Linked DNA regions of Canis lupus familiaris. The protein of the gene in region 4 interacts with the protein of the main gene of each other region in a biochemical or structural test. Links are inferred from orthologs where the notes say so. Each region holds a gene or a part of one and is shown on either strand. Other genes may lie near its edges.

Region 1 (7,730 bases), on a different chromosome or scaffold from region 4:
GCAAACTATATTCTCTCTAAACCTGATATGATAGTCACTAGCAAACCACCCCATATAAACCCCAGAGAGATGGTTTATTTACAGCAGGGTTTTTTTTTTTTTTTTTTCAGCAGGGGTTTTAACTCCAAAATGGAAGGACCCCTGCTGGGTCATATTATGTATTCCCACTGAAATAAAATGAGAGAGGTACTCTTCATGAGCTTCTATATCAAGTATAAAACCTGTACTGCCTTCACAGGAATCCAATGAGCAAACTAATGTGGCTTCTTATTCCTGTGAACCTGTGGAAGATATCAAACTTCTCTTTAAAGGACAATAAAGAGCAGGAGAAAAATTTTAGTTGACCATCAATGCCATTTTTATTGGGCTTCTCTTTCTCACTATACTATTAACCTTATTTTGTTGTCTTTTCTCCTGTCTCCTTGCCTGGTGCCAAGACTTCACTGCCATAGCTTCCAGCTGATAAATGATCCTTTCTACTCAGTGAGGTACACATATGTTGTGTACCTTGGACTTTGGTAACACCTATGTATATAAATTCCCCAACTGACCAATGCGGACGCATAGGTAGGGACATCTCTCTGTACCCCTATCAGCAGGAAGAAGTTACAGAAGATGAGACCTTCCACCCTCGACAACCTTAAAGATTTAAGGGTCAAAATTGTTCAGTGGGAATGATGTGGGGAACAATGGCAGAAGGAAATGTAGATGAAACTAAATTTCCTTATAACCTTCAGCCTATTGACAAACACTTGGGGCAAGCAGAATATAACATGCCTCCAGGAAACTCCCAACTGTTCTTAATGTTAATGCTTTGCTAAAGGGAGAAACAACCTCGGCTAGGCAACAGCAAGGCCTCCAGGATCCTGTGAGTCTTCTTTAGGATATGAAAGACCTTTTGGAAACTTCCCTTGGTCTTTACTTCCCCCATCTCCAAAGTATATAATCAGTTGTTCCTCACAATCCTGGGGCAGCGGCTCTTTCTGCCCATAGGTCTTGTTCCCATGCTTTAATAAAACCACCTTTTTGCATCAAAGATGTCTGAAGAATTCTTTCTTGGCTGTGCACTCTGTAACCCACCACTACAAACCATGTCACTGTTCCTAAATTGACTTCAGCCTCAGGTTTTCTGCAGACAGGTGTTCTCTGTGTTGGGCATGGCCATTGGTGTTATTAACTCATCTGTCTAGGACAACTCTGCTGGTGTCCTCCTGTCCTCCTACTGCTCTTGGGCTAAACTAGATGAAACCACTGATGTTTGTTGCTCGTGTTTCAACTGTTTTTGTTTTACAAAAAAAAAAGGTGACTTCATTCGATTCAACCTAATACTGCCCACATTTTAAAGAAGAGAAATGGGGGCGCCTGGGTGGCTCAGTCATTAAGCATCTGTCATTGGCTCAGGTCATGATCCCAGGTCCTGGGATGGAACCCCAGGTGTGAGTGTCAGGCTCCCTGTTCAGCAAGGATCCTGCTTCTCCCTCTGCCCCTCCCACCTTGTGCTCTCTCAGTCAAATAAATAAATAAAATCTGGAAAAAAAAAAAAAAGGAAGAGAAATAGACGCTTGGAATGATTAAGTAATTGGCCCCCAAATCTCAGAGTAGTCAATAGCAGTGTGAGGATTCAAACTCCAGTTTGCCTCCTTCTGAATTTCTTAGTATGATACATTTCATCAAATATTAAGAGCTTGGACCTAAAAACCAGCCTCTTGGGTTGGACTATCAGTTCATACACTTACTAGCCTGTGACTTGGACATATTTTCCTATCTGCACATCAGTTTTATCACCTATAAAATGGGGATAGCAAGGGGATCGCTGGGTGGCTCAGCGGTTTGGGGCCTGCCTTTGGCCCAGGGCGTGATCCCGGAGACCCGGGATCGAGTCCCACGTTGGGCTCCCGGTGCATGGAGCCTGCTTCTGTCTCTGCCTGTGTGTGTGTGTGTGTGTGTGTGTGTGTCTATCATAAATAAATAAATCTTTTTTAAAAAATGGGGATAACAAGAACAAGAATCCAATCCCTCCCGATGTGGAGGGTTGCCCTGGGGATCCGCAGAAGGAATTGTAAGTACAGAGTGTGTGTAGGCAGCGCCCGGCGCTTCGGAAGCATCCTATAAAGGGGAGCTATATTCTTCAGGTTTCCTCCAATGCTACTCTTCCTGCTTGGGTCAATCTACCAACACACACCAGCTTGGTGTTAGTGCAATGCACAGAACTGAGAAACTCCACGGCACACCTCATTACCACGTCAGGCAGGTAGCAGCGGACCGGCGAACCTCTTACAACTTCCCTACATCACTGCGGCGGAAACTACGAGGTTTTCCCTCCTTTCATTTTTCGTGAAGGGGGTAGTAGAGGCTGTGGCTTCTTGGGAGTACATCCGTGACTGGTCGTGCTGGACACCGAGCCCGAGCCCGAGCGCCGAGCCCTGCGGACGGAGGACGCAGCCTGAGGAGGGGCCGGGCAGTTGTCAGCAGGCCGAAAGGAAACCCTGGCGGGCGCGGGAAATTCCAGCGAGGGAGCAGCCCAGGAAGCGGCGTCCATTACCCCCCGGAGGGTTCCCGGGAGGAAATCCCCGTCTCCCCCGTCCCAGAAACCGCCGCAGGTTCCAGTCACCGTGTACCGAGTCCGGCGCACTCGGGCTCGTCTTAGGGCCCCAGGGGCACCGCCTGTCCGGGTGCGGGGGAGCCCGCTGGAAGCCGCGCGCCGCGCCGGCGGGTCACCGCGGCGACGACCCCCCGGGCCCCCTGTGGCGCCGCGGCTCCTTTAAGGGCGCGCGGCCCACGTGCCCCGTGACGTCAGAGCAGGAAGTGTTTGAGGAAGTGGCGCTGCGCTGGCCCGTTTGAGATTCCCGCATTTTAATGTCTTCGGGGAGGCGCCAGAGCCCCCGGTTTGGCCGCCCTAGCCCCCGCCTCCCCGGTCCTGGGGAGCGGCTGCCCCGCCCCGCGCCCCTGCCGACAGGTGAGTCCCTCGGGCGGCCGCGGGCCAGGTGCCGCCGGCAGACCCCGCGCCCCTCGGCGCCCGCGAGCCCGCCCCCTCCTCCCTGAGGCTCCCGGAGACCCTGGGGTCGGGCTGAGAAGTCGGGTTCTCCGGGCGGACCGCGGGAGCCGGGGTGACTCCGGGGGCCGCCTGGAGGCGGGGGCTCTGGGACCGTGTGAGGACACACGTGACCGGAGAGCGTGCCCCGGCCACCCAGGGCAGAGCGCGCGGGACAGGGCGCCCTCGCTGCGGTCCGGGGGATGCCCTTTGCGGGCCTCCGAGGGACTGTCCTCCCCGCCTCCTTCCCTTACGGCTGAGCGGGGTGGGGGTGGGGGGGTGACAAAAGTTGGCTACCCAAACCCAAAACCAAACCAGACAGCCTGGTTCATTTATAAAGTGAAAACCAGCTCCTCTCTCGCACCGAAGGGCAATGTTGTCTCTTAGCTTCTCCGTCTGCTTGAGTTCCATTTTCTCTTAACCTTGATCTTTTGTCCCCTACACCAAATTGTTTACAGAGTTAGCGCGGCAGCAGCATGAGCTGGTCACCTTCTCTGCCAACCCAAACATGTGGGGCCTGGGAGATGAAAGAACGACTTGGGACAGGGGGATTTGGAAACGTGATCCGCTGGCACAATCAGGTAGGGGCGCTGTGCACCTGGGCTGAGCCAGAGGCCGGGAAGACAGGCTCCTGGGAACTGCCTCCGCCCTACACTGTGCTGGGTGGGGGACGGGGTTCGTCCTTGGCCCTGGGCTTCTTGGGGGAGTGAGAAACGGGAACCGTCAGGGGGCTTCCGAGCTGCTCAGCTGCCTCTAAGTGGTCTCCAAGCTTTACTGACTATGGCCCCCAAATTGTAAAAATATTTTAACTTTTATATATCTTAAACTAGTATCTTTATTATCATCACGCTATCATGTACTAATATATTGTGTATTAATATTGAAATACAAAAATTGAAAAATTTAAAGAATGAGCATCGTAAAATATATTTAAGTGTTTAAAGAATTAGCTCAAAAATATTTTATTTATTTATTTATTTTTTTTAATTTATTTTTATTTTTTATTTATTTATGATAGTCACACACACACAGACAGAGAGAGAGAGAGAGAGAGAGGCAGAGACACAGGCAGAGGGAGAAGCAGGCTCCATGCACCGGGAGCCCGACGTGGGATTTGATCCCGGGTCTCCAGGGTTGCGCCCTGGGCCAAAGGCAGGCGCTAAACCACTGCGCCACCCAGGGATCCCCAAAAATATTTTAAATACATACTAATTATGTGTTCCCACTATTGTTTGCAATACTGCACAGCACAGACTATACAGATCCATAATGAAACAGAGAATTATCAAGGACAGTGGGTGAAAATCCGTATTTCAAATAATTTTTATAATTTGGAATTATTTGGACCTATTTCTGACTGATTAGATCCTGATTGTTTTTACTCTTTATGTGTCTGAAATAAGTTTAGTTTCTCACAATAGAAGTGTTCCTCCATATTCCTTTTTGCTTATGCTGGTGTTACATGTACTGAAGTCCTCTGCAGAAATTTCTTTAGCCACTTGTCCATTTTGTGAGAGTCATTTTATTGACCTCAGATACTACGATCCATAATCCACCTAAGCAGGGGCACATGTAACCTGAAACATGTCTCCATAGGCCCCTGTCCACCACTCCCTGTGGAATGCCCATTTTCCTCAGTATACCTTGGGTCCACGAGATATATGATCTTTGAAAAATAATCTGAGGAAGATTTCATAAAGTTAATATCAAAAAAGCTTAATTTCTATTTAATTGTTTTGGATTCCAGTCTTGGGTAACCCTGGTGCACATCTACCCCATTTGGAGACCACTGCTCTAGGGAACCCCCAGTCACTGAGTAACTGAAGTTGGCTTCCTGACTCCAAAATCAGACCCCCGAAGTCCTTGAAGGAAGCACTTGCTTTTTGATCAGGGGCTGCTGAGCACTTTTTTGGACTGAAAGGAAGTGTACCACTTCTTGGGAGCCAGCTGCAGCAGCCAGCGAGAGAGTCATCAAGGCTACTGGCCAGCCACATCAGAGAGTCATTCCAGACAGCCACGCTCCTTTATCAGTTAGTTGGAAGACATTCTAGGCCCTGCCCTGAGTCCTGTCAGCTCTGAGTAGATGGAACGACCCCTGGAGGAGTGGGAGCCAGAGCTGGAGGGCACAGTCCAGTTCCGGAGGTGGTAATTCCCACATTGAACTGGGAAACCAGAATTCCTTTCAGCCACAGCTGGAATTCCTTTGAGCCACAGCTGGCTCAAATGTGTTCTGGTCCGAGTAGAGCTGTGGGCCTCACATTACAACATAAGAGCCAGATCATTCTATGGCCCCACATATACCTGGGCTGGGCTGCTTCTAGATAGGCCACAGCTTTTAGATTCTTGACTGCAGCAAATATCTCAGCAGCTGAAGTAGAGATGGTTTTCCTCAAAAGGAGTTCTGTCCAGGTGTGCCATGTGTCTGTCATTTCTAGCTCAGAATGGCCTCTATGAATTTGGAAAGCTATTGTCAGATGGAATTTGTTCCTGGCTTTATAGATATGGGCCTGAAAAAAATGTGTGTGTGTGTTTGTGTGTATGGATTAGTCTTCTAGAATTACTACTTTCAAGTTCCCCTATTCGAAAACCAGTAGCCTTCATTTTTATTTTATTTTTAATTGAAGTTGGCATACATTATTACATTAGTTTTAGGTGTACAACATAGTGATTTGACGATTCTATACATTATACAGTGCTCACCATGAAAGATATAGTCCCCATCTGTCCCCATCCAATGTTCTCACAGTATTATTGACTATATTTCCCATGCTGTACTTTTCATCCCCCCATGACTTATTTATGGTACTGAAAGTTTGTACCTCTTAATTCCTTCACCTATTTCAACTATCCCCCAACTCTCTCCCTCTGGCAACCACCAGTTCTCTGTATGTATTTATTTATTTAAACATCTTTTATTTATTCATTTGAGAGAGAACATGAGCAGATATGAGGGGAAGAGGGAGAGAGAAGCAGATTCCCTACTGAGCAGGGAAGCCCAGTGCAGGGCTCAATCCCAGGACCCAGGATTATGACCTGAGCTGAAAGCAGGCACTTAACCAACTGAGCCTCCCAGGTCCCCCCAGTTCTCTGTATTTATGTATCTGTTTCTCCTTTTTTTGTTTGTTCATTCATTTGTTTAGATTGCACATGAAATGAAATCATATGACATTTTTTCCTCAACTTACTTCATTAAGGTAATACTCATTACATCCATCTGTGTTGTCACAAATGGCGAGACTTCATTCTTTTTAATGGCTGAGTGATATTCCATTGCATGGGATATTTTATGTGTATATATATACGTGCATGTGTGTGTACATATACACATTTATATACACATATATGTATATGTATGTATACATGCACACACATCTTCTTTATCCATTCTTCTATTCATGGACACTTAGGTTACTTCCCTCTCTTGGTGGTCATAAATAATGCTGCAATAAACATAGGGGTGCATATACTAGTGTTTTCGAATTAGTGTTTTGTTTTCTGTGTTTAAATACATATCAGTGGAATTACTGGATCATATGATAGTTCTATTTTTAAGTTTTTGAGGAACCTCCACACTGCTTTCCACAGTGGCTTCATCAGTTTGCATTTCCACTAACAGTGCATGAGGGTTCCCCTTTCTTCACATCCTTGCCAACACCTGTTGTTTCTTGTCTCTCTCATTTTAGCCAGTCTGACACATGTGAGGTGATAGCTCATTGTGGTTTTGATTTGCATTTCCATGATGACCTCAACCTGGACCTGTCCAAGTACCGGATGCCTCAGCCCTCTTCGGGTCGGGAGTCGCCTCGCCACTGAGCGCCTTGAGAGAGTAAACCTATCGGTGTCTGGGCTACAGAAATAAAATCTGCTCCAGCCATGAGGCCTGACATGTATAATCAGTGTCCCTTTTACGGGAAACGGTGAATTAGTTTATTTAACACCCATTTAGAAACATCTGTGCACAAGGGATTTTTCTCCCGTGAGCCAGAACCTCAGAAAATTCTGGGTTGATGAAATCAGAAATACAAAATTCTGATGTTGAGAGTCTTTTCATGTGTCTGCTGTCCATTTGTACATCTTCTTTGGGGAAAGTCTATTCAGGTTTTCTGCCCATTTTTTTAACTGGATCATTAGGTTTTTTGGGTGTTGAGCTGTGTATGTTCCTTTTATATTTTGCATATTAACCCCTTATTGAATATATCATTTGCAGATATCTCCTCCCTAGGTTGCCTTTTCATTTTGTTGATGGTTGTTCTTTCTTTCGTTCTTTTTTTTTAATCTTTATTTTTTAAAAAGCCAAAGTCAAATTGACAGTCTGGCCTCACCGTGTCTTTCTTAGCATTACCTCCTCTTGTTGGCTCCCAACAAGTTGGTTGGCTGAGCCTTCTGTGGGACAAGCCTCTGTCTCCTGGACAGCTTTACATAATCAGTATAGCTGCAGACCACCTCCTCAGTAAAGTTGCCATGGACTCCTTCATTCTATGGAAATTAGTTCTTCCCCTGAATTCCTTCAGTTTCACTCATTTGGCCTGCTTCATATACTGCCTTTTTGTCTTTGTGTATAAGAATGTGTCCTGTCAAGGCTCTGAGTTCCTGGTCAGCTGGGGCCCTTTCTGGTTTTGGCTTTCTTTCATTTCCCACACAGCAATTGTCTTTATGTTATATGTGTGTCAGGTGCATAAAGTCATTCACTTTCTATAAA
Region 2 (7,702 bases), on a different chromosome or scaffold from region 4:
GCGCCCTTCCCAATCTTATCAACCCAGTTCTTGATGACCTATTTTTAGCTTCAGTATTTACAGGGGTATTGCTTCAAGCAATATCCTTATTTCTTAAACTCAAGTTTCCACTAGCAAATACCAGAAAACAAAGCAAGAAAATACATTTACAAAGGGGCATTCCACAAAATAGGGGATGAAAGCACAACATTCCTAAATTTAGTCATCATGATTAAGTTAACTTAGGGCAAATCACACAACAAAGTAGATTTCTGTTGACTTAAAGAGTATAAAACCGCAGCTTTCAAATGCTATAAAAAAAGTATTAACATCCTTGCTTTAAGAAAGGTATTGAAAAAAATTAAAAAATAAAAAATAAAGAGGTATTGAAAAGTATCACAATAAGTAAGCAAACTATCAAAACCTCAGTTTCCACATGTAGGTGCCCATCCCAACAGTAGGTTCTCACCTAAAAGGACATTATAAATTTTAGTGGGAACTCCCATAATTCTTTGCAGTGTCAGAAGTCCAGATAGAATACCAATTGGGCAAAGAGGTAAATCAGGAAGTAAAATTCACAATCAATAAAAAGATAAAGAGCAAAACGGATGAATCCAACTAGACCCCTTGACCACAGTGACAAAAACAACTTCCAAAATCACAACAACCTGGGATCAAAGACAGTAATTTCGGCTTCCAAAATCGACAATACTCTTGGTTAATGGCAGAAATGATTCGGCAGGTCAAGGGCAGGTTCCTATCATCCTACCGCTCTATTCTTCACCACCTGCCAAAATACTACATGAAGGGAGTTGTCATTTTATTTCAAGGATGAGAAAGAGGTTTTAACGCTCTGGAGTCCCGGGTTCCCCCAGGAAGGGGCCTGGATGAGCGGCACCCCTCAATCCCGAGGGCGGGGGCGCGCACCCCGTTGGAGCCCCTCGTAGGGCACACAGCACTCACGGCCGCAGGTGACTCCTGCACAAACTCTTCCTTGGACTTTCTGGCTTCCACTCAAACACCCCCCCCAACCCCCCCAGCTCACATGCCCTAGAAACTCGCACAGGAACCAGTTCTAAGACTGCAGCCAACCACCTGGCACCCCTACGCCCCCGCCCCCCCCCGACCCCGGCCCAACCCCGCCCAGCCCACTACCGTCCGGCTCCGGCTCTCAGGACTCGCCCCGCCCCCTCCGCCCACGTGACCGGGACCCCTCCCACCCCGCGCCGCGCTCCACCAATCAGCAACCACCTCCGCGCCGCCGTCGCTCCCCTTTCAAAAAGGCAGCTTTCTCCTCCCGCCTTCAGCCCCGCCCCTCACCCAACCTCCCCGCCCCGCTGGCCACGCCCACTCCCCCAACTCCCCGCTCCCCTCCTCCCCTCCCGCGGACCCCGCCCGCTCTCAGGCTTCGCCCCGCCCCACCCGGGGCAGCGCGCTCGCCCTCGTCTCGCGAGATCTCGGCGTCCCCGCCCCGCCCCGCCGCCGCGGCCGCCCGCCTCCCCCTCCCGTCCTCCCACCCCCTCCCCCCGATCTCTCCACTCTCCGGCTCTCCTCCCTCCCTCCTCCCCCCTCCACCCTCTGGGCCGGATCTCGTCTCGTCGAGGCGGAGGAGGAGAAGGAGGAGGAGGACGTTCGGCCTGCGCAGTGAGATGTTTGTCCGTCGCCGCCGCCGCCGCCATCGCGGAGGAGCGCGATAAAGGGAGCCGAGCCGGGCGTGAGGGGGACCCCGCGGAGGCGCCGCGCCAGCGCAGCCCCCCCAGCCCAGCCCCGCCGCAGCCCGAGCCCGAGCCCGAGCCCGAGCCCGAGCCCGAGCCCGAGCCGCCGGAGCCCGAGCCGCCGCGGCCGCCCAGGGGCCGGCCCGCTCCCCAGCCCAGCCCGGGGGCCGCGCCGCCGCCGCCGCCGCCGCCGCCGCCCCCCAGCGCAGCCCCTCGCCGGCCCGCCCGCCTTAAATGTGACACCGGCGCCTCGGAGTGCGACCCGAAGCCGCCGCCGGGGAGGGGACGAGCACCATGTCGAATCTGAGCAAAGGCACGGGCAGCCGGAAGGACACCAAGATGCGGATCCGGGCCTTTCCGGTGAGTCTCTCCTCGGCGCCTGGGACCCCGGGGCCGGGGGGCCCGGCGGAGAGCCGCACGCGAGGCCCGGGCTGAACTCCCCCAACAGGCCGCAGGCCCGGCCTCCCCTCCCCCACGCCGCCGGCCGCGGGGCGCGAGCCTTCCCGGCCACGGGGCGGGCGGCTCGGGGGCCCCGGCGCCTCAGGCCGGCGCCGCGCACCCGCCCGGGAGCCTCGGGCCGGCGGCGGCGGGCGGGCGGGCGGCGGCTGCTGCGGCTGCGGCGGGGGCCCCTGGGCCGGCCCCTTCCCACGTTCCCGGGGGGTAGGCCCGGCCCCCGGTGCTCCCCTCCCTGCCGGCGCCCCGGGACCACCACACCCGCGGGGACGGGGACTGTGGAAGTCTTCCGTGTGTGGGGGGGCGTGTGTGGAACTTTTCACGTGCGGTCTCAAAAATAACCCGGCCTCAACCAGGGCCCGCCAGACCTTTCGGGGGGTGGAGGGGGCTGTCCTGTGCCTCCGCAGGAAGGGGGCTGGCCGCCCACCTACCCGCCCCCCGACGCAGTGACCGTGGCTCCTTGCACTGCTCGGTAGTAACGCACGCACCTAACCTCGTCAGCTGTATTTATAGCCTCTTTCATCCACAGGCGTCCAAAAGCACTTTACAAACTCTTCTTGTGCAGGAATTGGCCTCGCCACTTGTAGGAGGGTCAAGGGGAAGCCAGAGAACACACGCTGGACAATGGCCTCTCCAGATCTTAGCCGTGGAAGCCCAGCAGGAGGGGGTCGTCACTGCCCCGAGTTGCTCTACGCTGTGGGTTTCAGCGACAGCAAAGGCTGCTCTGTTTAGAAACTTTCTTTTTTAGCGTTACGTTGAGTCATACGCTGGCATTATTTAGTGTAGAGAGTGTAACTTGGGATGCCATACCTGATTCAGATAGCCCATGGCAAGCAATTAAAGTGTACTGTTGTAACAGAAACTGGACGTTCTTGCCTCACGTCGCTACGGTAACAGGTATATGTCAAGAAAGGCAAACCAGCAGTCGAACGGAAGGTTTTGTTTTTTTTGTTTTTTTAAAAAAAAAAAACAACAGTAAAACTGGGGAAAGATCTTGAATGTCTTAGAATCCTACACACGTCATATTTTGGGAAGGGGGAAAAGGTGGGGTTTGTATTCACTGTGGGAAGGCTTGCTTTTTTCTGAAGTGTGATTTGCAGTGAGGGAAGACACTAATGCAGAAGAGAACTAATGAAGTCTGTCAGCATGTTTTCTCTTAACAGTGAAGTGAGCTGGGCTTAGGAATTTTTGAGTAATGTTAGTTTTGCTACTAAAGCAGTTGTGAACATGTTTAGCAGGATTTCGAATTATTAAGAGTTTCAAATAGTTTTCTGTATAACAAGTTTTCTAGGAAAAATTTGCTATTCTTGAAGTCTGAGTTCTTCTAACTCAAACTTACTACTATAATGCGGCATAGCTCACATTTGACATGAACTCACTTTTGTTAATATTGCGATTAACCAGTTGTACCTTTAAGCGTGATTAGCTTTTTCGTCCATTTAGGTTTACCTCTTCCTACCTGGTCTTCATTCCCTCATTCGTTTAATGAAGACTGAGTACTGTGTGCCAGGCACTGTTCTAGGAGCTTGGAGTAAGTCAATACAGCTTGAAGACTAAAGATCCCTTCTTTCTGGATGTTGTATTTATTATTGGGAGAGGCAGGAAAGAATTTCATGATTCCTTTAGCAAAAGAGTATAGTATATGATAGGTTAGCACATAGTCCTGAAACTGATTTTTTTTTTTGTGTGTGTGTGTTAATGATTGTGAGCTAATTTGGATCTTTTCTGTCCACAACTTGTTGCCATCTAAGATTTTCTAATATTCTTTATTGAAGTTTATAAATGACTACTGTTTGATACTCAGTAGTTTAGTACCTGCTAATTTTTAAAAGCATAGTTTTTCAATGTTTCATGATTTATAATATTCGTAACAACTTTCTACTGAAAAGAACCTAGATTTTTTTTTGATTTATAAACTTCTAAGTTACAGTTTCTTGGATAAATGCCTCAGTGGTATGATATTTCACCGACTTACCCTTTGGTAAATGAGTCCTTATAGACCTTCAAAATTTCTCTTTTCTTACAGGTTAGCAGTCTTCTAGTAGTAAATGCATACTGTTCCATAAAGAAAAAATAGCGTTTGTATGTGGTACAGATGTACAATATTTATAGCTATATAGTATTTTGTATTAATCTTTGGACATGCATTGTAGGTACTGTAGTTTAAGAAAATTATAGTTTAACCAAAGGTCTCAGGTGCTCATTTCAGGATTCTGTTTTATAAAATCGACGTGTAAAAAGTGTAAAAATATGTTTTGAGATTGTTTTGTTTTCATTGCAAAACAGAGTGGTAAGTGAACTCACAGGCTATTCTATAAGATGTGTAAGCATATTCCAGATACAGACCCATCAGTAAAATCAGGTTCTTTTAGTGTTTTGAGTACATATTTTAAGTGTTCCTTCATTATTGTTCCCAAGAGTAAGTTATGCCATACCACAGTTTTATCTACAATTTGCATTTTAAGTAGAACTTTTCGTAAGATTTTAAGAGAAATTAGTTCTTTTTTAAGATGGAAAACAGTGAGGACTTTATGGATTCATAAATTGTTGATGGAGTTAAAGTTTATCCCAGCCTGAAAGCTTTCCTACACTGCACAAAATATGTCATTTCACTTTTTTTTTTTGGTACCCAAAATTAACAGCAAGGGGCAAAATTTTTTTTTTAAGGAAGGAAGCTGTAGTTGCGAAACTCTTGGAAGCTATATGGATTTGGATCAGAGTGCTGCCCCAAGAAGTTTCTGCTCTTCTTTCCTTGCTGTTGTTGAATGTCTCACTCCTGAGCTTTTCTTTTGTTCTGCTATGTAGAATTAGTTGCTGTCAGGTGAACCTTTTGTCCTTTATCTTCGAAAAGCCATTCCTCTCCATCTGTACTTTCCACATGGGTTTTGTCCACATGGGCTTGAAAAAACTTGATTGGATTGGAGGGGATATATTTGAATGAAAATGCTCCTCTCTCTTCTGATAGTCCCTTCTTGACTTAGCCTTCAGAGTTTAGAAGTCATATTATGAAAGTGATGGTCTTTAGAAGTGTGTGATCTGGAAGTGGTTTCAGTTATTATAGAGCATAGTCATGATGAAGAATCTCTGGTTGTGATGTCCACTCCATAATCCTAGATTGGCTTCTTGGAGCTCTACCTGTGTAGCATGGACAGTGAGTCATGTAGAGGTTATTGTTAGAGGGAAACCACAGAGTGGATGACAATAGAAGGAGATGAATTTTAAGATCATTTGTGATGTACTTAAGAACACAAGAGTTTAATGGTAATTGGGGACACTTAATTTTGTTTTTCCTAGCTGTGGTAAAATTTGCTAGATTTGGGAAAAAACAGCTTTGATCTTCATAATAGATTTCCTTAGAGAAAGTAACAGTTGCCTAGGATTACCTGGACTATATACAGGAAAGCTGAATAATAGTCTGAATAATAGTCCTGGAAATCAAACAGGGTGGGGAATTAACTATATTTACTTACCATTCTCTAGCATACAGAAACTATGGAGTAAGTTATAAAAGATTCGTTAAAGCGTTGTTTACACTTAGACTGATTTGTTTAGTAGTTTCAGGACATCCAGTTATGTTGTAGCTGTTAGTATGTTTTCAGCTTTAGAAGTTAAAAAACAAAAGCGTAAAGTAGTTACCTATAAGGCATTTGTATTTTGCATTATCTTCCTAGATACTTCAGAGGAGCCTGGAAAATGATTAGTTCCAGTATTGAATTTGAAACTATTTTAAAGTATAGGGTATATTGTAGAATTTGGCCTTTTAAATAAGATTAGTTCATTGAGACAAGATGGAGAAAGCTTTATTTGTACATCATTCATTCATTAAATTTAGCTAAGTAATAACAGCATTTCTCTAATTCATGAAGATAATATAATTAAGACTTTGTATTTTAAATTGCTCCCATCAGATAATTTTTTGCTGTTATTTTCATTGAAAAGTATCTGATATTTGTTAGCAGTTTTGTTAAATTTTTGTAAAAGTTACTGGACAGTTCGTTGTTTCAAATGCAACTCTGAAAATAGATCTCGTTTATTCAAAAATACAGTAAAAAAGTAAAGGTGTTACTAGTAAGCACAAATCACTGAGGTATAATAGGACTTGCAATTAATGTCTGTCAGTGTATTGTGAAAACTATTAAGTTATAATCTGTCAAAGCAATGAATTCATTTTAGTAGATTTTCTAATTATAAAAGTGATGGATATTCATGGTAAAAAACTTAAGTATCTAAATTTATAAATAAAGAAATAAAAATCACCTCTTAACCCTACTGCTTGGGAATAAGCAACATTTACATTTTGATGTGTTTTCTTTTAATCTTTGTATTGTATACTTGTGAGCACCCAATAAAATTGAGGTACTACATTATTTTAAAAACTATTTTTTAAAAATATGGTATTCTCATGTTAAATGTATGAAGAATATGATTTGTAAAGACTAGTACTTTATGGTACCTCAGTTTGCTTAACCATTTCCCTGTTGCCAAGTGTTTTGGTTGATTCCAGTTAATTCATATTTATAGATAATAAAATTGTGATTATTTAGGCACATAAATATTTGAGTCTATCCATGATTATGGAGTTACTATGCCAAACAAAATTGATATATATTGCCAAACTGACCTTCAGAAAGGTAGTAATAATAATAGCTAACACTCAGTGAATGCTTATCTTGTGCCACACACACTGTTCTTTGTGTTTTGCATGTATAAATTCAATTCATTTGCACAACTCTAGTACTGCCACTAACATCTATTTTACAGAGGAAGCCTTGAGAACCTAAGAAATTTGCTTCAGGACACTACTTGTAAGTGGCAGGACTAGGATCCTAATCTGGCTCTAAAGTGAATGTTCCTCAGAATTAATTATACCTGTCAAGGTTGTATCGCTGTGTTTCTATTATATAGCAGTATTTTAGCCAACATTTTATATCTTTATTTTTCATAGGTGAAAAAAATAGTACTTTAATGCTTTAGTTTGCATTTCTTTGACTACTCATTAGAATAAAACTATGGATAGTCTGTAGGGGAATTTTCCTTTAATTTTCCTTTAGCGTATTCAACGTCTGTGTTAGGAGTATGACTAAAAAATAGACTGAGAGTGTAATAGAGTGTGGGCTTTGGACTGCCAGATTTTGAATGTCATTTCCACCTTTTTTTTTCACTGCATCATTTTTAACAAGTTACTTAACCCCTTCTAGCTTCATTTTCATCCTCTGAAATGAAACTACTAGTAGGATGTACCTTATAGGGTTGTTGTGAGATAAAGCATTAGAACACTACCTAGCACATGGCTATGGTTAATAACCACTATTTAGCCATTATGCCACGATGTAAATGTTAAAATTGAGTCTTATTTTTGCAGGTAGTTGTATTGTAATACCGTATGCTTGTTTTAGTGATGCTGCCATTTTTTGGTACTGTTTTTCATTTTGAAAAGCCTGCCGGTCCAATTTGAACCACACTAAGTCTCAAAGGATGCAGGTTTGGTGCCACTGGGGCACTTGAGAAGAATGCTGCTGGCTCTTGGGGGTAGATTTAAAAAAAGTTCCAAGTAA
Region 3 (7,804 bases), on a different chromosome or scaffold from region 4:
GGGGGGAAGGGTACACAAATGTGGTGCGCCAGGTGAGGGTATACATGTCTTCAATGTTCTCCTCTCAACTTGTCTGTAGATTTGAAAATTTTCAAAATAAGGGATCCCTGGGTGGCTCAGCAGTTTATCGTCTGCCTTTGGCCCAGGGCGTGATCCTGGAGTCCCAGGATCGAATCCCACATCAGGCTCCCTGCATGAAGCCTGCTTCTCCCTCTGCCTGTGTCTCTGCCTCTCTCTCTCTCTCCCTCTCCCTCTCCGGGTCTCTCATGAATAACTAAATAAAATCTTAAAAAAAAAAAAAGAGAAGAAAGAAAGAAAATTTTCAAAATAAAAAGTTGGAGGAAAGTTACAATTTTTTTTTAAAGATTTTATTTAGTTATTCATGAGAGAGAGAGAGAGAGAAAGGCAGAGACACAGGCAGAGGGAGAAGCAGGCTCCGTGCAGGGAGCCCGACGTGGGACTCCATCCCGGGCCTCCAAGATCAGGCCCTGGGCGGAAGGCAGTGCTAAACCGCTGAGCCACCTGGACTACCCGAAAGTTACGATTTTAAATGTAGATAGTTTTTTAAAAGTAACTTGCCATTTGCGGTAAGAGTTTATAGAATAGACCAAAGAAAGAAGAACACCAAACAATACCAGCCCTTAGAGAGACCCCAGAAATACTGAAGAGCCCCAGTTGCGGGGAAAGTGCAGCTGACCCCTGATGGACAGGTCACACCACGGCTCTTTACTGTACGGCACAGTAAATGTATTTTCTGCTCCTTACCATTTTCTTGATAACATTCTCTCGCTTGGCTATAAGAATGTCGTGGATAACACAACACAAAACACAGGCTAGTTGACCCTTTCTGTGGTTGGTAAGGCTCTGGGCCAACAGTAGGCTATCGGTTAAGCTTTTGGTGAGCCAAAAGTCATAGGCTTATTTCCAACTGCTTGGGGGAGTCAGTGTCCCTAACCCCCACACTGTTCAAGGGAGAGCTGTACAAACAAACCGATCTTTTACTAAAAACAATTTTTAAAAGTAGAATATTAGAAAAAATGTTACAGTAAATTAACTCCACCTGTCCTCTCCAAACAGAAACTGGAGGCGTGTGGAAGCACCAAGCACTGAATAAAAAGGGCCTCACGGGAGGCAGGGACAGCCTAGTGACTGCCGACCACTGCACGGACAGCCCTCCCTGGGCTGCTCAAACTGGAAGTGAGCGCTGGGAAGACAAGGCCCTGACAACTAGCTCTTCCCTTGGGCCGCTGTTCAGGGCTGTTGATGTGGCTAGTCCCTTTGAGCAGCGAAGCAATGTCTCCCCCATCCCTTGAGCGAAACGCAGGCTTGCTCGTCACCTGCCACACAAGGGGTGGATGCCTTCTTTGACGCAGGTGCAGGCACCCTTCCGGGCCCACAGGCACTGACAGGCTGACCCCACACCACCGCTGTGCTGAGCTCCAGCCCTTGGTCTCTGGCCAGGAATGCGTGTGTTCCAGGAGCATCCAAGGAACCAACAAGAGAACCTGCAAGCTTCGGGGAGAGTGAAAGCAAAGCAAGCCCTGACCTGAGAGCTGCTGGGAAGTAATCCCGGGGACCGGGGCAACAAAGACCTACCTGTGCGCAGGCAGCTGCCGACCCAGGATGTGTTAGGTACGAAACAGGGAGCAGACTCGTGTGCAAACCCACAGGGTCAGTAAGATTCAAGAGACACTTCCGACCCCGAGATCTGGGGGGGGTCTGCCTGGGACCGAAAGCGCTGGCTGGCTGCGGCGAGGCTGCCGGCCGGAGTGCTGCGTGGAAAGGCTCGGCGTCTGGGGCCAGAAGCTCGGGTCGGAACGGCTGCCCCTGGACGGCCGCGGCACCGCCTCCAAGGAAAAGTGCGAACTAGGGGCCGCCGTGCACCACGGTAAGAGCTCGCCGGCGCGGGAACGAGGGGCGCGGCCGAAGCTGGGGCAGACCCGGCAGGGCGGGCGGAGACCGGACTCGAGGCGTGGGGTCGCGGGTCTGAGCCCGGCAGGCTCGCCCTTGCGCCTCCCCAAGCCCTCGAGGGCTTTAAGACGCACATAAGACGCCAACGAGGGCCTGTAGTCCAACGGGTTCTCAAAGGCCCACCCCGCGGGCACCGTCAGAGGAGAGGCCCGAGGCCCGCGGCGGGGCGGGGGCGGCGGCGGCGGCGGCTGCGGCGGCGGCGACAGGAGCCCCTAAGCCCTCACGGTGCCCCCGAGGACCGCCCCCCCGGCCACACCCCCGAGCGGACGCCGGTGGAGCTTCTCGCATCGACTCCCGCCGGCCCACACCCGCGCCCCGGCCCCGCGTACCCACCTGCTGCAGGTACTGGTTGATGGTGATGTGCGCCATGGCCGGACCCCCCGCGGAAAGTGGGCGTGGGCGGGGCCTGCGCGCGCGGCTGCGTCCGCCTCACTTCCGGCCGCCGGTCCGTCCGGACCTGCGCGCCCCCCAGGCCCGCCTCCCCCGCACGCGGGTTCCGGAGGAAGAGAGTCCGCGGCAGCGTGCGCCCCGGGCCGGGATGGCGGCGCGCCCGGGCTGAGGAAGGCCGCGGCCTGCGCTTCGATCCGCCACCGCCTCCCGGCGAGGACGCCCGGTCCGCGCCCTCTGGGTGCCTGGGCTCCCGCCCGGGGCAAGCTGGGCCCCGCCGCCCCCCTCGACCGTTATACGTTCCACAAGGAGCGCGGCGGCCGCCGGGCGGCCCGGGGCGGGGGCGGGGGCGGGCCGGGGCGGGGGCCGGGGCCGGGGCCGGGGTCGGGGTCGGGGTCGCGCCGGGCCGGCGGGGCGGCGGTTGGGCGGCCGGGGCGGCGCTGACGCGAGGCCCGCCCGCCCGCGCGGCCGGGGAGGCGGGACGGGGCGGGGCGCCCGCTGCTTCCCGGCCGCCGCCATGGCCGACGAGACCCCCAGGAAGGGCGCCCTGTCGGCGCTGGTCGGGCACACCAACGGCCTCACCAAGCCCGCGTCCCTGGCCGCGGCCGCCGTGGCCTCCAAGCCGGGCGGCGCCGGCGGCTCCAAGAAGCTCGTCATCAAGAATTTCCGAGGTGGGTGCGGGGCGGCGGGGCGGCGGGGCGGGGCGGGGTGGGCGCCCCCGGCCGCCGGAAGTGCCCGTCCCGGGGAGAGGGGGTCCCGGGGGGGCGCAGGGGTGGGGGGAGGGGGCGCCTCCGGCCGCCGGAAGTGCCGCTCCCGGTGGGGGGGGGAGGGACGGGGGGGGCTCCCGGCCGCCGGAAGTGCCGGTCCTACGGAGAGGGAATCCCGGGGGGGGGGGGCGCCCCCGGCCGCCGGAAGTGCGGGTCCCGGGGCCTGGGGCCTGGCGCCTGGCGGGCGGCGGCGAAGGGGTGTCCGGTCCCCGGAAGCGCCCCGGCTGTGTCCCGGCTCCGGCGTCCACGCAGCGGGGGCCCGCAGCGGCCGGTCCGCGCCCGGGGCCCCCAGGACTGGGTCATTCCGGGAAGGGAAGCGGGGGGGCTGCGGGCCCGTGAGCGTGATCGTGGGCGCGACGGGGGCGCCGACCCTCACCCCGCCCCCGCCCCGCAGACAGACCGCGGCTGCCGGACAACTACACTCAGGACACCTGGCAGAAGCTCCACGAGGCGGTGCGAGCCATCCAGAGCAGCACGTCCATCAGGTACAACCTGGAGGAGCTGTACCAGGTGAGGGCCGAGGCGGACCCCGCGCGGGCGCTCTTCCCCCCCGTCGCTGCCGCACGGCCACGCGGCCCTCCTCCTCTTTATTTTCCGATCGTTGCGGTTAAGACGCGGAAACGGATTTTGTTACGTCCGAAGATGTTCCGTTTCCAACGTAATTGTGGAAAAGGAGCATTACTTTACGTATTCCGTTGATCAGCAGACCGGTTTTCCTGATAACTGGTTTTCAGAGAATAGCATTCGTTGATTAGTGCGTTACCTACCACCTACATTTTGCATGACCGTGTGATAGATACCTCCGTTTCTATGAAGACATTGGAATTAAAACTTTCTGTTTGCATAACTGTTTGTTGTAAGAACTATGGACATCACAAAAAAGGACAAAAATAAATTAAAACCACCTGTACTCCCGCCACTCAAGGAAGACCGCTATTGGCATTTTGGTGGACATCCATCCCTTCTTTGTAATAACTTTGTATGAGTTTATATTTTTTGATCGACTTTTTGAGGCATAATTTGCATAGAACCTGTACTTTAGTGACTTATATTGAGGTGTAAATGCTGTTATCATGGTAACATACAGAATTTTTTTTAAAACATTTTTAAAAATTTTTATTTATTTAGGATAGTCACACAGAGAGAGAGAGAGAGGCAGAGACACAGGCAGAGGGAGAAGCAGGCTCCATGCACCGGGAGCCCGATGTGGGATTCGATCCCGGGTCTCCAGGATCGCGCCCTGGGCCAAAGGCAGGCGCCAAACCGCTGCGCCACCCAGGGATCCCTAGAATATTTACATCACTTCAAAGAGTTCGTTCTCCTGACCTGGTCCTGGCGGATCACTGACTTCCTTGCTGTTGGTCTGTTGGACCAGTTTAAGTCTCATCGGTGGAACCTGTGTGGGGCAGTTGTCTGCACCCAGTTCCAGTAGTTTGTTTCTTTGTTGCTGGGGAGTACAGCTACAGCCTTTCACCAGGATAACTGACAGTTTGCAGTTGGTAGGAATAAAGCTGTTCTGAACCTGAAGGAATAAGTCTCATGTGGACATGGGTAAATATCTAGAAGTAGTCTCAGAGTCATAAGGCAAGTGTACATTTGACTTTAGGACATTTTCTGTTTTCAAAATGGCTATACCATCTTGTATCTGGGCAGCAGTACGTGAGAGCTCCGTTTTTCTATGTTCTTGCTAACACTTGGTATTATCCGATTTTTTAAGGAATTTTATTCACTTGAGTACACATGTACTGTTCTTTTGTATTTCCGTATGAATTTTATGATGTTTGCCAATTTCTAAAAAATAAAGCCTACTAGCATTTTGATTAGGATTGTGTCAAATTCTAGATTAATGTGGGGAACGTTGATGTCTTGATGGTACCAGGCGTGCCAACTGATGACACGGCACAGCTTTGTTTGCTTTTCCTTGATTTCTCAGTAAGGATTTCTGGTTCTGGTGTGTAGGTCTTGTACATCTTCTATGAAATACTCTTAAGCGTTTCGTACGTTTGGTGGTATTACAAGCAGTAGTATGGTATAAGTTTTAATTTCTGGTTCTTGCTAGTATATAGAAATAGAAATTGTTTTTTGTGTATCACTCTAGTACCCTGCTCTCTTGCTGACCTCGCTTCTAGTAGCTTTTTGTAGATTCCATGGGATTTTCTACCTAAGCAATCACATCACCTATGAATAGAGGTGGTTTCACTTCTTTCTAGTCTGCATGCCTTTTATTTCCTGTCTTGTGTCCCTGCACTGCTCAGAACCTCCAGAACAGTGGTGAGTAGAAGTGGTAAACCCACACTCTCTTGTTTAGCTCCTGCTCCTAGTGGGAAAAGCCTTCGGTCCTTCATCATTGAATATGATGTTGAGTGTTGGGCATTTTTTTGGTGGTGTTTTGTTTTGTTTTGTTTTCTAAAAATACCCATTTGTCAGGTTGAGGAAGCTCCTTTCCATTCCTAGTTTGCTGAGAAATTACCAGAAGTACCTGTTGGATTTTGATGACTTCTTTTATGACTGTTAAGATGATCATATGACTTTTGTTATTTTAGTTCTTTGCATTGTTTGACGTCTCAGTTGGTAAGACCATCCAGCAGTCCTTGGATAAATCTGACTTGCCTAGTGGTGTATGAATTTTTGATGTACTGTTGGTTTCAGTTTGCTAACATTTCATGAGTTTTTGCATTTGTGATCGTAGAATAGTGCTGTCTTGTTTTCTTGTAGTGTATTTGTCTCAGAGTTGCAAATGTTTCCTCTTTTTCCTTTCTTATAAGGGTTTGTATGGAACTGGTGTTCTTTTTTCCTTAAACGTTTGAGAGAATTCCCAGTGAAACCATCTTGGCTTTCTTAGTGGAGAGCTTGTGAACTGCACATATCTTTAGTGGCTAAAGAACTCTTCAGGTCACTCATCTCTTTGGATTCACTAATCTTCTGTGACGTCTGATCTGCCAGGACTGCCATCTGGTGAAATTCTTTCTGGTGCATTGGTTTTCTGTCCAGGTGCTCAATTTGAATCTTTTCTGTATCTTCCCTTGTCACTACATAATTTCCAAACATAGGGAATATACTTATGATAGCTGTTTTACTGTCAGTTCCAGGCCACATTTGTCTGCTTTTTCTTCCCACTAAGGGTCGTGTGTTTTTTCTTAACCCGTTGGATAATCTTTGATCATCAGACATTATGAATTTTGATTACTACGATAGATATTTTTATATTTCTATAAATATTCTGAGCTTCATTGCAGACAAATTATTTGGAAACAGTTTGATCTTTTAGAGTCTTGCTTTTAAGATTTGTTAGGACTAGGGCAGTATTTTGTCCAGGGTTAATAATAGCCCCATTGAGCGGGACAATCTTCTGAATGAGATTAGGTGCCTGATGTCTTGTGGAAATGTGCTATTTCAGGTTCTCTCTGGGCACTAGACACTGTTGTCTCTAAACTTTTTCGGTGGTTCTTTCCCTGGCCTTCACCGTTTCCTCACATATAGGTCAGTGCTCTGCTGAATCCTCAAGGGGCACCCACGAGGGCTCCTCGTTCATCTCCAAGCTCCTGTCTAGATGCATCTCTCATCTCTTCCCTCTGGACCTTCATCTTGGAGACTTGAGCCTCAGCTCAAGGCACCTGCTCTGCAGCCTGGAAAGAGTGATGTAGGTAGTCATAGTGTTGGGGCTTGTTTCCCATCTCCCAGAGATCTTTGTCTTCCATAGGCCAATGTGCAGTGTTTTGAAAACTGGTTTTTTGTTTTTGGGTTTTTTTGTTTTTTTGTTTTTGTTTTTGTTTTAAGATTTATTTATTTGAGAGACACCAAGAGAGCACAAGCAGGGGGAGGGGCAGAGGGAGAAGGAGAAGCAGACTCCCTACTGAGCAGGGAACCCAACGTGGGGCTCAGTCCCAGGACCTCAGGATCATGACCTGAGCTGAAGGCAGACTCCACGTGCACTGTAGAGCCTGATGCTAGGCTCGATCTCACAACCCTAAGATCATGACCTGAACCAAAATCAATATAGTTGGATGCCTAACTGACTGAGCCACCCAGGCACCCCTCGTATATTTTGAATGGTTTTTGGTTAATTCAGGCAGAAGAGCTAGTCTAGTCCCTTTATTTAATCTTGACCAGAAGCGGGAGTTTCATCAAATGTCTAAACTCTCATAGGTTTTTAGTTTAATAAAAGATTATATCTTGCAGCTAGGGCTTATTATGCCCCTTTTCCTGGAGGTTTGACTATCTGGTATCAATTGCCCACGATTTTTCTTAGTAGAATGATTTTGCCATACCTATTAGCCTGCAGGATGTCTTACGATAGTCACCATAGAAATTATTGTGAAGGCCCTGTGTGTGTCTTGAGACCCTGAGGGCCAGGGGTGCTTACCTCAGAAGGGCCCAGTCGGGGTCAGGTGATTGAGGAAGGGGCCTGGGAAGTGGCTCTTGTCCACTCATGGGGACTCACCCAGCAGAGTTCAAGGACAGGACTATGCAGTCAACAGCTCAGATCTTTTGGAAACAAACGGGATAGAAATAGTAAGTGACGTCATTGCGTAGTTACTGACTGCTTGCTTTATCCTGATCTGTGATAAAGTAGGCTGTGCTTTTGACTCGTTTCAAAGTAAAGTCTTAAGTTTTTGCTCAGGTGCTGTGGTATATGCTTTGCCAAAGAATCTTGCCTGAAAGCAGCAATTTTTTTAGCA
Region 4 (7,903 bases):
TGGGGTTAGGGAGTGAGATACCCATGAAAGATCCAGCAGCAATATGAAGAAAGCAATTTGACTATGTCTGGAATTCAGAATATGGTCCAGGAGTGGAAGGGGAAGGCTTAGTAGTTTTTCAGATAATCATTACAGCTACAGGAGAAAAGGATGTTTTGAAAAAGACCCTAGAGTCAGAGAATAGGGCTGAGAACAGAATAGCAGGAAGGGAGAACATATGTCTGTGGAATGCAGGAAGGAGCCTGTGAAACAGTCTTAGAAGAAAGAGAAGGAAAAAAAAAAAGAAAGAAAGAGGAGAAGGGATGAGGTGAACCTGGACAATGTTGCTCATTTCCCATCCATCCAGAGATATTTCCACCAAATGAAAGGTACTTAATCATTTTCTCTTGGCAAATACATCCATGTGATCAACTTGCTTCCATAAGCACACCCAAATTTTGACAAATCTCTGTAAATGTTGCTAACAAGTAACCGGGGGGAGACGAAGGTTGAGTGTTAGGATACAGATAAGAGTTAATATATAAAAAGCACAATTAAGTTTTTTTAGCACCTTCATTAATGGTGACAAAGAACAGAAGCATAAATTAGATGGCCTTTAGGTTATGCAAAATTACCAGAATACTTACTCAACTTTGCCTTCCACTCAATAGAGCAGTGGGAATGCAAGTCAGAATGATGTTAAAAGAATCAACTTTGCCTTCCACTCAATAGAGCAGTGGGAATGCAAGTCAGAATGATGTTAAAAGAATAATCTGAAATCTCCAAGTTTGTAATAAGAAAGTCCCATTTATCTGAGAACTTCATTTGGAAAAAAAAACTGTGCTGAAACCATTCTGTTTCAATTTATCCTATTTAAAACCATCTGCTCCCTTTCAGAAGGTCATCTGTACGCAGGAGACCTAAAATTTCATCCCTAGGGAGTATTTTCAGCAGCTAGTTAACCACCACAAAGTCTGTGCCCTCCTAGTGAGAAGAAAAAGAAGAGAAAACACCATCTTACTGGTGTCCGTGGGATTCCCTCTTGCTTGTCAACAAGACATGCCATTCTTTCATATAAAACAGAACCTCTCTGAGGGTATTTGAGTTTTTACAAACTTTTATTGGTTGCTATTAGATTCTTGGGATTTTCTGAGAAATGTCTGGAAAGAGTGTTGGTTTGCATTACCTCCCGGAAATGCAAGGTAAACTCTTCAATCCTACAATCTGAGAGCCAACTTCTCTCGAGAAAGGAGTCCCACTGCTAACTTTTACTGAAAACTGGATCCAAATCCCAGATAACAATCCTAAAATGAAGGCAACGAGGAGATGTGAGCTCAAGGACCCAGCACCGACTTCACAGGGCTGTGGTAACGGGAGTAAATTTTCCTTGCAAAGCAAAGCGCTGAGAACCGCGCCGAGCGCACAAACACTCAATAAACGTTAACCATTAATCAGCACCCGGGGGGGGGGGGGAGGGGGGGGAGGTGCTCCGGGAAACTCAGCCCCGAAGCGGAGAGCCAGCTGCTGGGTAGGGAAGACGCGCGGGAGCTGTGGGTGGCGGCCCAGTTAAGAAGCGTCAACCCGTCGTCAGGCAACCGGGTCTCCACAGCACCCAGAGCCGCGGCAGAGCCCAGCCCGCGCCCCCGGGACGCCGCCCCCGAGCCCCCGGGCAGCAGCGAGACCCCCGCCCGCAGGAACCAAGCACCGCCCCCGGCCGAACCGACCAGGATTCTGTACCTCCGACCCCGCCCCCCGCCCTGAAGCCCCGAAACCCCGACCTCAACCCTGCAGCTCGGGCAACGCCCCTGGCCCGGCGGCCACGAGGACTCACCCGACAGGGACCGCCGCCCTCACAGACCCGCGAAGTCCGGCTCCGCGGCCGGCGTGGCCGCCGGGAGCCCCCGCCTCCGCCCCCGCGCCCGCGCCGCCAACCCAGCCCAGGGACACCCCGCGCCCACCCCGGCCACACCCCGCCAGGCCCGCTTCCCTTCCGCGGCTGCCTAACGCTTACTCAGGAGAGCCGGCTTGCGCTGGGGACGACGCACAGAGCCCCAGGGAAGCTCTCCGCAGGCCGAAGAGGTGGCGACGGCCGCCCCGCACCGGAGCACCGTGACAAGCCGAGCGGCCCCGGCTCCGCCTCTTAAGCCGAGCCCTCCTCCCGCCCTTCCCAACGGCGAATGCGGCCCCGCCCCCACGACGGCCGCCGGGGTACCGTCGCGCAGTCGGAGCGCCCCCTCTCGCCCCGGAGGCCGCACAGCAGGCTCGCCTACACGTAGGCTGGGTGTATCTGGCCCTTTGCCTGGTGCCTCTGGTCTGTAGTGGGAGCTGTTAAACCATGAGAAATTCTTTCCAAGCTAAATCGATTCTAGCCCCTCTAGACCTTCCTAGCCGCATTGCTAGCCGCAGCCGCCGTGGAAAAAAAAAGATAGGGGTGACAGGGAAAAAATGTTTGCACACCTCCCCTGCGTATTTCTCCTCTTCCTGGAGTCTGGTCATCAATGTTTTGTCCTGGGGGTTTTTATTTTTTTTTTTAAAGATTTTATTTATTTATTCATGACAGACACAGAGAGAGAGGCAGAGACACAGGCAGAGGGAGAAGCAGGCTCCATGCAGGGAGCCCGACGTGGGACTCGATCCCGGGACTCCAGGATTACGCCCCAGGCCGAAGGCAGGCGCTAAATCACTGAGCCACCCAGGATTCCCCTTTTTATTACTAATTTCAACATGTTCGGTTCCCCCCAATACTGAACGGCCATGTGCCACACGAGAAAAGAGATCTCTAGCTTTCCAGCAGAGGGGAACTAAGAATCCTTTGTCCTAAGTTACTTTGTAAGAGGGTTTTAAAAACAAATTTTCTTCAAATGGAAGTTAATGTCGAAACTGCAGGCAGGGATGTGGATTCAATAATTCTAATGTTTTTAACTATTTGGCACGTACCGTACTAGGAGTGGAGGACACAACCCAGAGCCGCGTCCTGAACTCTTAAGCTTTTAGTGAAAAGAAAAAAATCCAAATAAATACATTATTACAATGCAACGTAACAGTTCTAGAAGCACCTACAGACGTTTAGAGACATCTAAAAGGAATCATTACTGGAGAGCGGAAAAAGTCAACATTTCATGGTAGAGATCCCTGAGCTGTTTTTGAAGATGAATTTGAGCTCCCAGGCAAAAAACAAGACAACACAACCGCCAGGGGAGAGTATTTCAAGCAAGGCTGACCACATATGCAAAGTTTCAGGATGATTAAAGATGAAGCAAGCAAGCAAATAAGTGAAATAATTAAACACTGCATTAACTGTTGGGGGAAAAAAAAAGTTGCTGAGATTAATTTGGCCTCGGGGATAGGAAGTGGTCTCACACCTTAAACGAATTGTTAAGAACTGGGTACTGATCTTTTCAAAACACTAAGAGCTCATACAGATGTTAATTTTTACAAACACGACAAAAGACCCTGTCGTAGCCTTCCACGAGTCTCCACAGCTTTCTTGAAATGCCGGAGAACTGCTCTCTTAAGAGACCCTTAGAGCCCAACCAAGGGTCCTTTGAACTTTACGCATGTGCAGTGACTCATCTGGAAGTAAACTGGGATGCCAGGTGTATCTTCGTCTCAACCAGCATCCAAAACTGCTTATGTCTCAAGTTTTTCACAGACATCCTTATTTTTGTAGGCTTTCAACAAACATTTTGTTTAAGGTACCCACACACCCACACGAAAACAGGTCTTTTTTTTTCCCCCAACACAGCCTAAAGAGCTAACCCACTTTTAATATGGCCGAGGCCGCGCCTGCGCAGTGCGAACAAAGAGGACCCGTTCGTTTCTGGCATAACGTTGCCGTGCCCTTCTTCCGGTGCGGAAGGCTATACCATTCTCACGCTCCGTCATTGTGTTTGTCCTAATGCGCGCATATAATTTTCTAAGATAATATGTTCTCGTTTCAGCCACAGGAGGATTCCTCTGTCTCTATTATGTAACCGCTGTTTGTATCGTGGCGTCCCGGAAGCGCTCCCGCCATCCCCGAATGGTCTGTACTGACTTCACCTCCGGTTCTGGGTGTCATGGCTGCCTCGAGAGATTAGTACGAGTTTGCACCTGTGGTGGGAAGGGTCCGAAGCCCACACCCAGGAACCTAGCCGAGTAAAGTTGCGTCTTGGTCGTGGAGGCGACAGCTTCTCGGATTCCACGGCGATGGCGGCGTCCGGGAGTGGTATGGCTCAGAAAACCTGGGAATTGGCCAACAACATGCAGGAAGCCCAGAGTATCGATGAAATCTACAAATACGACAAGAAACAGCAGCAAGAAATACTGGCGGCGAAGCCCTGGACTAAGGAGTGAGGAGGTCCCTGGCGAGACGCAGGGGATGGGAGGGGTGGCGGGAGTTTAGGACACCCAGGGGAGTGGGAGTTGCAGAGGGTGGGAAGCTAGTGTTTTCATGGACAGGGAGAAGAATATGCACCCGGGAAATTTGGGTCCACCTTTTTCTCCGCAAGTAGAGTCAAAGCCCTTCTCCTGGGTCTTGCTTCGATTCCCCTTCTTGTCTCTTTAACCCGTTTGCCTCCAGGGGATGTAAGGGTAAAGGACAAACGATTATAATTTCTCATTTCTCAATATCTATATTGTCATATATATGCCACACACTCTGCCTTAAGCCTTGTGTTGATATACACCTTGTTGAGACCTCTAGCTTATCTGAGACTGGAGACTGCACCCATCTTCAAAAGCCAAGTCAGCCCTGGCGTCTCTAACTATAAGCCATCTTTTAGACATTTATAAATCGATTGTTGATTGCTGGTAACTATTTCAGATACAAGGAGGCTCCACCCAGGCTCCCAAAACGTTAGTCCACCAGTTAACATGAACTAGAAATTTTATCAATAGAGTTTAAAGCTGTTTGCCCCTTAGCAAATGCCCTGTGTCTCTGGGAATGATGACAAGTGAAGGACTCTACCCACAGCATTTACCCTTAGTGTTAAGGGAGAGTAAAAAGAGCAGTCTTCAAATGGAGAGATAGAAAGGACAGCAGTGATCAACAACAAAACATTCTTCCATGTTTATCGAGTATTTAATATGGGCTGAGCACTGAGCTTAGGAATTTCTATAATATATTATTTAGTCTACATGACAACCCAGTACTGTATTTTCATTCCTTTTTTGGAAATAAGAAAATAAGCAAATACGAGTAACTTACTTCATGATCAGACTGAGGCAGTGAACTCTTAAGTGAATAATAGACTAAAATTCAAACCTCACAAGTGTCCCTAGTTCGTTGACTGGCCCTAGAAAATTTATGTATCTTCATTTTTTACCTGTAAAAAGAAAATTAGACCCACCCATTGGTGATTTCATAAAGATTAGATGAGATAATGCATTAAAAAGGGTCTACAATGTATGTAATAAGAGCACAATAACTTTTTTTTTCTTTTCCCCAGTGAATAAAGACCCAAGATTAATTCATGTCTTGACTCCCAAGACCAGGTCTCCATATTTTTCAGTTGTGATTGAAATCTGTGGGCAGACATCTTAAAAAGGCTTCTCAGGAAAGAAGAAGGAAAAAAAAGTAGGGGAGGGGGGCTTCTTAAACACATTGACCATATTATTAAAGACAGTTTGCTTAACTCTATAACAGGCTATGCATTTAAGGTTGCTATACTATAGACTACCAAATATTTGAAAACTATCCGTGTGCCTTATTGTCTGATTGCGGCTCTGATTATGTTCATCCCAGCGATCTTGAGCTGCATCAGTGAAACGGAAAATGTAATTTTATTCAAGAGTAGTTTAGTCACATATACATATGACAAACTTTTAAATAGTGATCAAAACAGAACTAAAGATATTAGAGCTACTTTTTTCATTTTGAGGCTGATAACACAGAAAGAAACAACACACTTTTTTGAGAGTACTATAAAAGATGGGTTAAGGCTAATAACAGCTAGCACTTAATATTAAGTTTTGGTATGTGTGAGGTAGTAAGATAAGCATTTATGTAAATTATTTCACTTTATTTCTTCCTAACAACAAATCTGTGACCTATTCCTATTTACAGATGAGGAAACTAAGGCGTGGGCATGCGGTGATTGTCTCTAGGCAACAGCTAGCATGGCAGGGCAAAGACTCAAACTTAATCAGATGGATGTCAGAGCCCACATTTGGATGTCAGGCCAGAAAGTTAGGCCTGAGAATCTTTAGGCACAACCATCCAACTAGACTCAGAATCAGAGATTTGGTGATTCCAAAATTAATGGAGAAAAAGTCTATTGAATTCTATGTAATTCCTTTCTACTTGAACAGCATATTTAAAACAGCATATTTTAAAAAACTATTTCATACTTTTCCCCTAAAGAAATACTTTGCAGGACCCAACATGTTTTTCATTTCCAGCCCCCTGCAAGAACTCTACTTCCCTTTTCTTTCCCACATTTCTACACTCTTTCCCCTTTCCCATCACTGTAAGTTCCTTCAATACTTGTTTTCTTTACAAAAACTATCTTTGAAATTGTGTTTTATATAAGTTAATTGTGCTGTACTTTTGTTTTGTAGTCACCATTATTTTAAGTACTGCAAAATCTCAGCATTGGCTCTACTGAAAATGGTGATGCATGCCAGATCAGGAGGCAACCTGGAAGTGATGGGCTTAATGCTGGGAAAGGTGGACGGTGAAACCATGATCATTATGGACAGTTTTGCTTTGCCTGTAGAGGGCACTGAAACCCGAGTAAATGCTCAGGCTGCTGCATATGAGTACATGGCTGCGTATATCGAAAACGCCAAACAGGTAAAAATGTTGCTTAAAGTTCAGTAATTCTAAGAGTCTCATGGAGACTCTTGAGTTTCTAAACTTAAACTATCCTCGTTACATAAGGTTTATATTTTATTTTCAACAGTGTCTATGTAAAATGTGTAAGAGGTTAGCATGGATATTTTTAAATAAATTCCCATACTCAAGAGAATAGATCTTAAAAGTTTTCATCATAAGAGAAAAAAAGTTGTACCAAATGTGTGGTGATGGATGTTAACTACGTTTTTTATAATGATCATTTTGCAGTACATACATATAGTGATTCATGATGTACACCTGAACTAATACAATGTTATACATCAATTATATCTCAATAAAAAAAAATTTTTTTTAATTCTCACACTCAGTATCAGATATATGTTTAAAACCAAAATTTGGAAACAACCTAAATGTTCCTGAGTATAAAACTGATTAAGTAGGGATGCCTGGGTGGCTCAGTGGTTGAGCATCTGCCTTCAGCTCAGGGTGTGATCCTGGAGTCCTGGGATCAAGTCCCACATTAAGCTCCTTCTATGGAGCCTGCTTCTCCTCCCTCTGCCTATGTCTCTCTCTCTGTGTGTCTTCGTGAATAAATAAATAAATAAAATCTTAAAAAAAAAAAAGATAGTACACTTGGGACGTCTGGGTAGCTCAGCAGTTGAGCGTCTGCCTTTGGCTCAGGACGTGATCCCGGTCCCAGGATCAGGTCCCACATCAGGCTCCCTACAAGGAGCCTGCTTCTCTGTCTGTGTCTGTCTCTCTTTGTGTGTCTCTCATGAATAAATAAAATCTTAAAAAAAAAAACTGATTAAATAGATTATGGTATATCCATACAATGAAATGCAAACCAGCCTTTAAGAAAAATAAAAATTGCAATGCCTTGGTTGCTCAGCAGTTGGGTGCATCTGCCTTCAGCTCGGGGCGTGATCCCGGAGTGCCAGGATCGAGTCCCACAACGAGCTTCCTGCATGGAGCCTGCTTCTCCCTCTGCCTGTGTCTCTGTCTCTAATGAACAAATAAATAAAATCTTCGGAAAAAAGAAAAAAAAATTAAAAAATTATCTGTATATTTTATTTACATGGAACAAACCCCACAATATTGTGTCGAGTTGAAAAAACAAAGAGCACTGTACGTGGTATGTCATTA

Evidence for each region. The genes of interacting proteins can lie anywhere in the genome.
Region 1: of the proteins of COPS5 (region 4) and IKBKB, one has a biochemical effect on the other in vitro, tested with the Homo sapiens proteins (2 studies listed by BioGRID). The link is inferred for Canis lupus familiaris from reciprocal best matches to the Homo sapiens genes COPS5 and IKBKB.
Region 2: of the proteins of COPS5 (region 4) and CUL3, one has a biochemical effect on the other in vitro, tested with the Homo sapiens proteins (2 studies listed by BioGRID). The link is inferred for Canis lupus familiaris from reciprocal best matches to the Homo sapiens genes COPS5 and CUL3.
Region 3: of the proteins of COPS5 (region 4) and CUL4A, one has a biochemical effect on the other in vitro, tested with the Homo sapiens proteins (5 studies listed by BioGRID, with this or other methods). The link is inferred for Canis lupus familiaris from reciprocal best matches to the Homo sapiens genes COPS5 and CUL4A.

What each region holds. Positions count from the first base shown.
Region 1 is NC_049237.1:24,147,749-24,155,478, reverse strand, and holds the start of IKBKB (inhibitor of nuclear factor kappa-B kinase subunit beta), read left to right. Parts: upstream 1-2,784; 5' UTR 2,785-2,956; intron 2,957-3,489; 5' UTR 3,490-3,507; coding exon 3,508-3,612; intron 3,613-7,730.
Region 2 is NC_049246.1:38,007,164-38,014,865, reverse strand, and holds the start of CUL3 (cullin-3), read left to right. Parts: upstream 1-2,756; 5' UTR 2,757-2,771; coding exon 2,772-2,843; exon of another isoform or gene 2,844-3,012; intron 3,013-3,023; exon of another isoform or gene 3,024-3,044; intron 3,045-7,702. UniProt on the Homo sapiens protein: Core component of multiple cullin-RING-based BCR (BTB-CUL3-RBX1) E3 ubiquitin-protein ligase complexes which mediate the ubiquitination and subsequent proteasomal degradation of target proteins.
Region 3 is NC_049243.1:60,779,009-60,786,812, forward strand, and holds the start of CUL4A (cullin-4A), read left to right. Parts: upstream 1-2,858; 5' UTR 2,859-2,875; coding exon 2,876-3,029; intron 3,030-3,519; coding exon 3,520-3,635; intron 3,636-4,291; exon of another isoform or gene 4,292-6,751; intron 6,752-7,488; exon of another isoform or gene 7,489-7,610; intron 7,611-7,804. Other genes in the region: PCID2 (PCI domain-containing protein 2), read right to left, coding at 2,305-2,340. UniProt on the Homo sapiens protein: Core component of multiple cullin-RING-based E3 ubiquitin-protein ligase complexes which mediate the ubiquitination of target proteins. As a scaffold protein may contribute to catalysis through positioning of the substrate and the ubiquitin-conjugating enzyme.
Region 4 is NC_049250.1:17,044,347-17,052,249, reverse strand, and holds the start of COPS5 (COP9 signalosome complex subunit 5), read left to right. Parts: upstream 1-3,810; 5' UTR 3,811-3,829; intron 3,830-3,835; exon of another isoform or gene 3,836-3,920; 5' UTR 3,921-4,167; coding exon 4,168-4,310; exon of another isoform or gene 4,311-4,318; intron 4,319-6,519; coding exon 6,520-6,754; intron 6,755-7,903. UniProt on the Homo sapiens protein: Probable protease subunit of the COP9 signalosome complex (CSN), a complex involved in various cellular and developmental processes.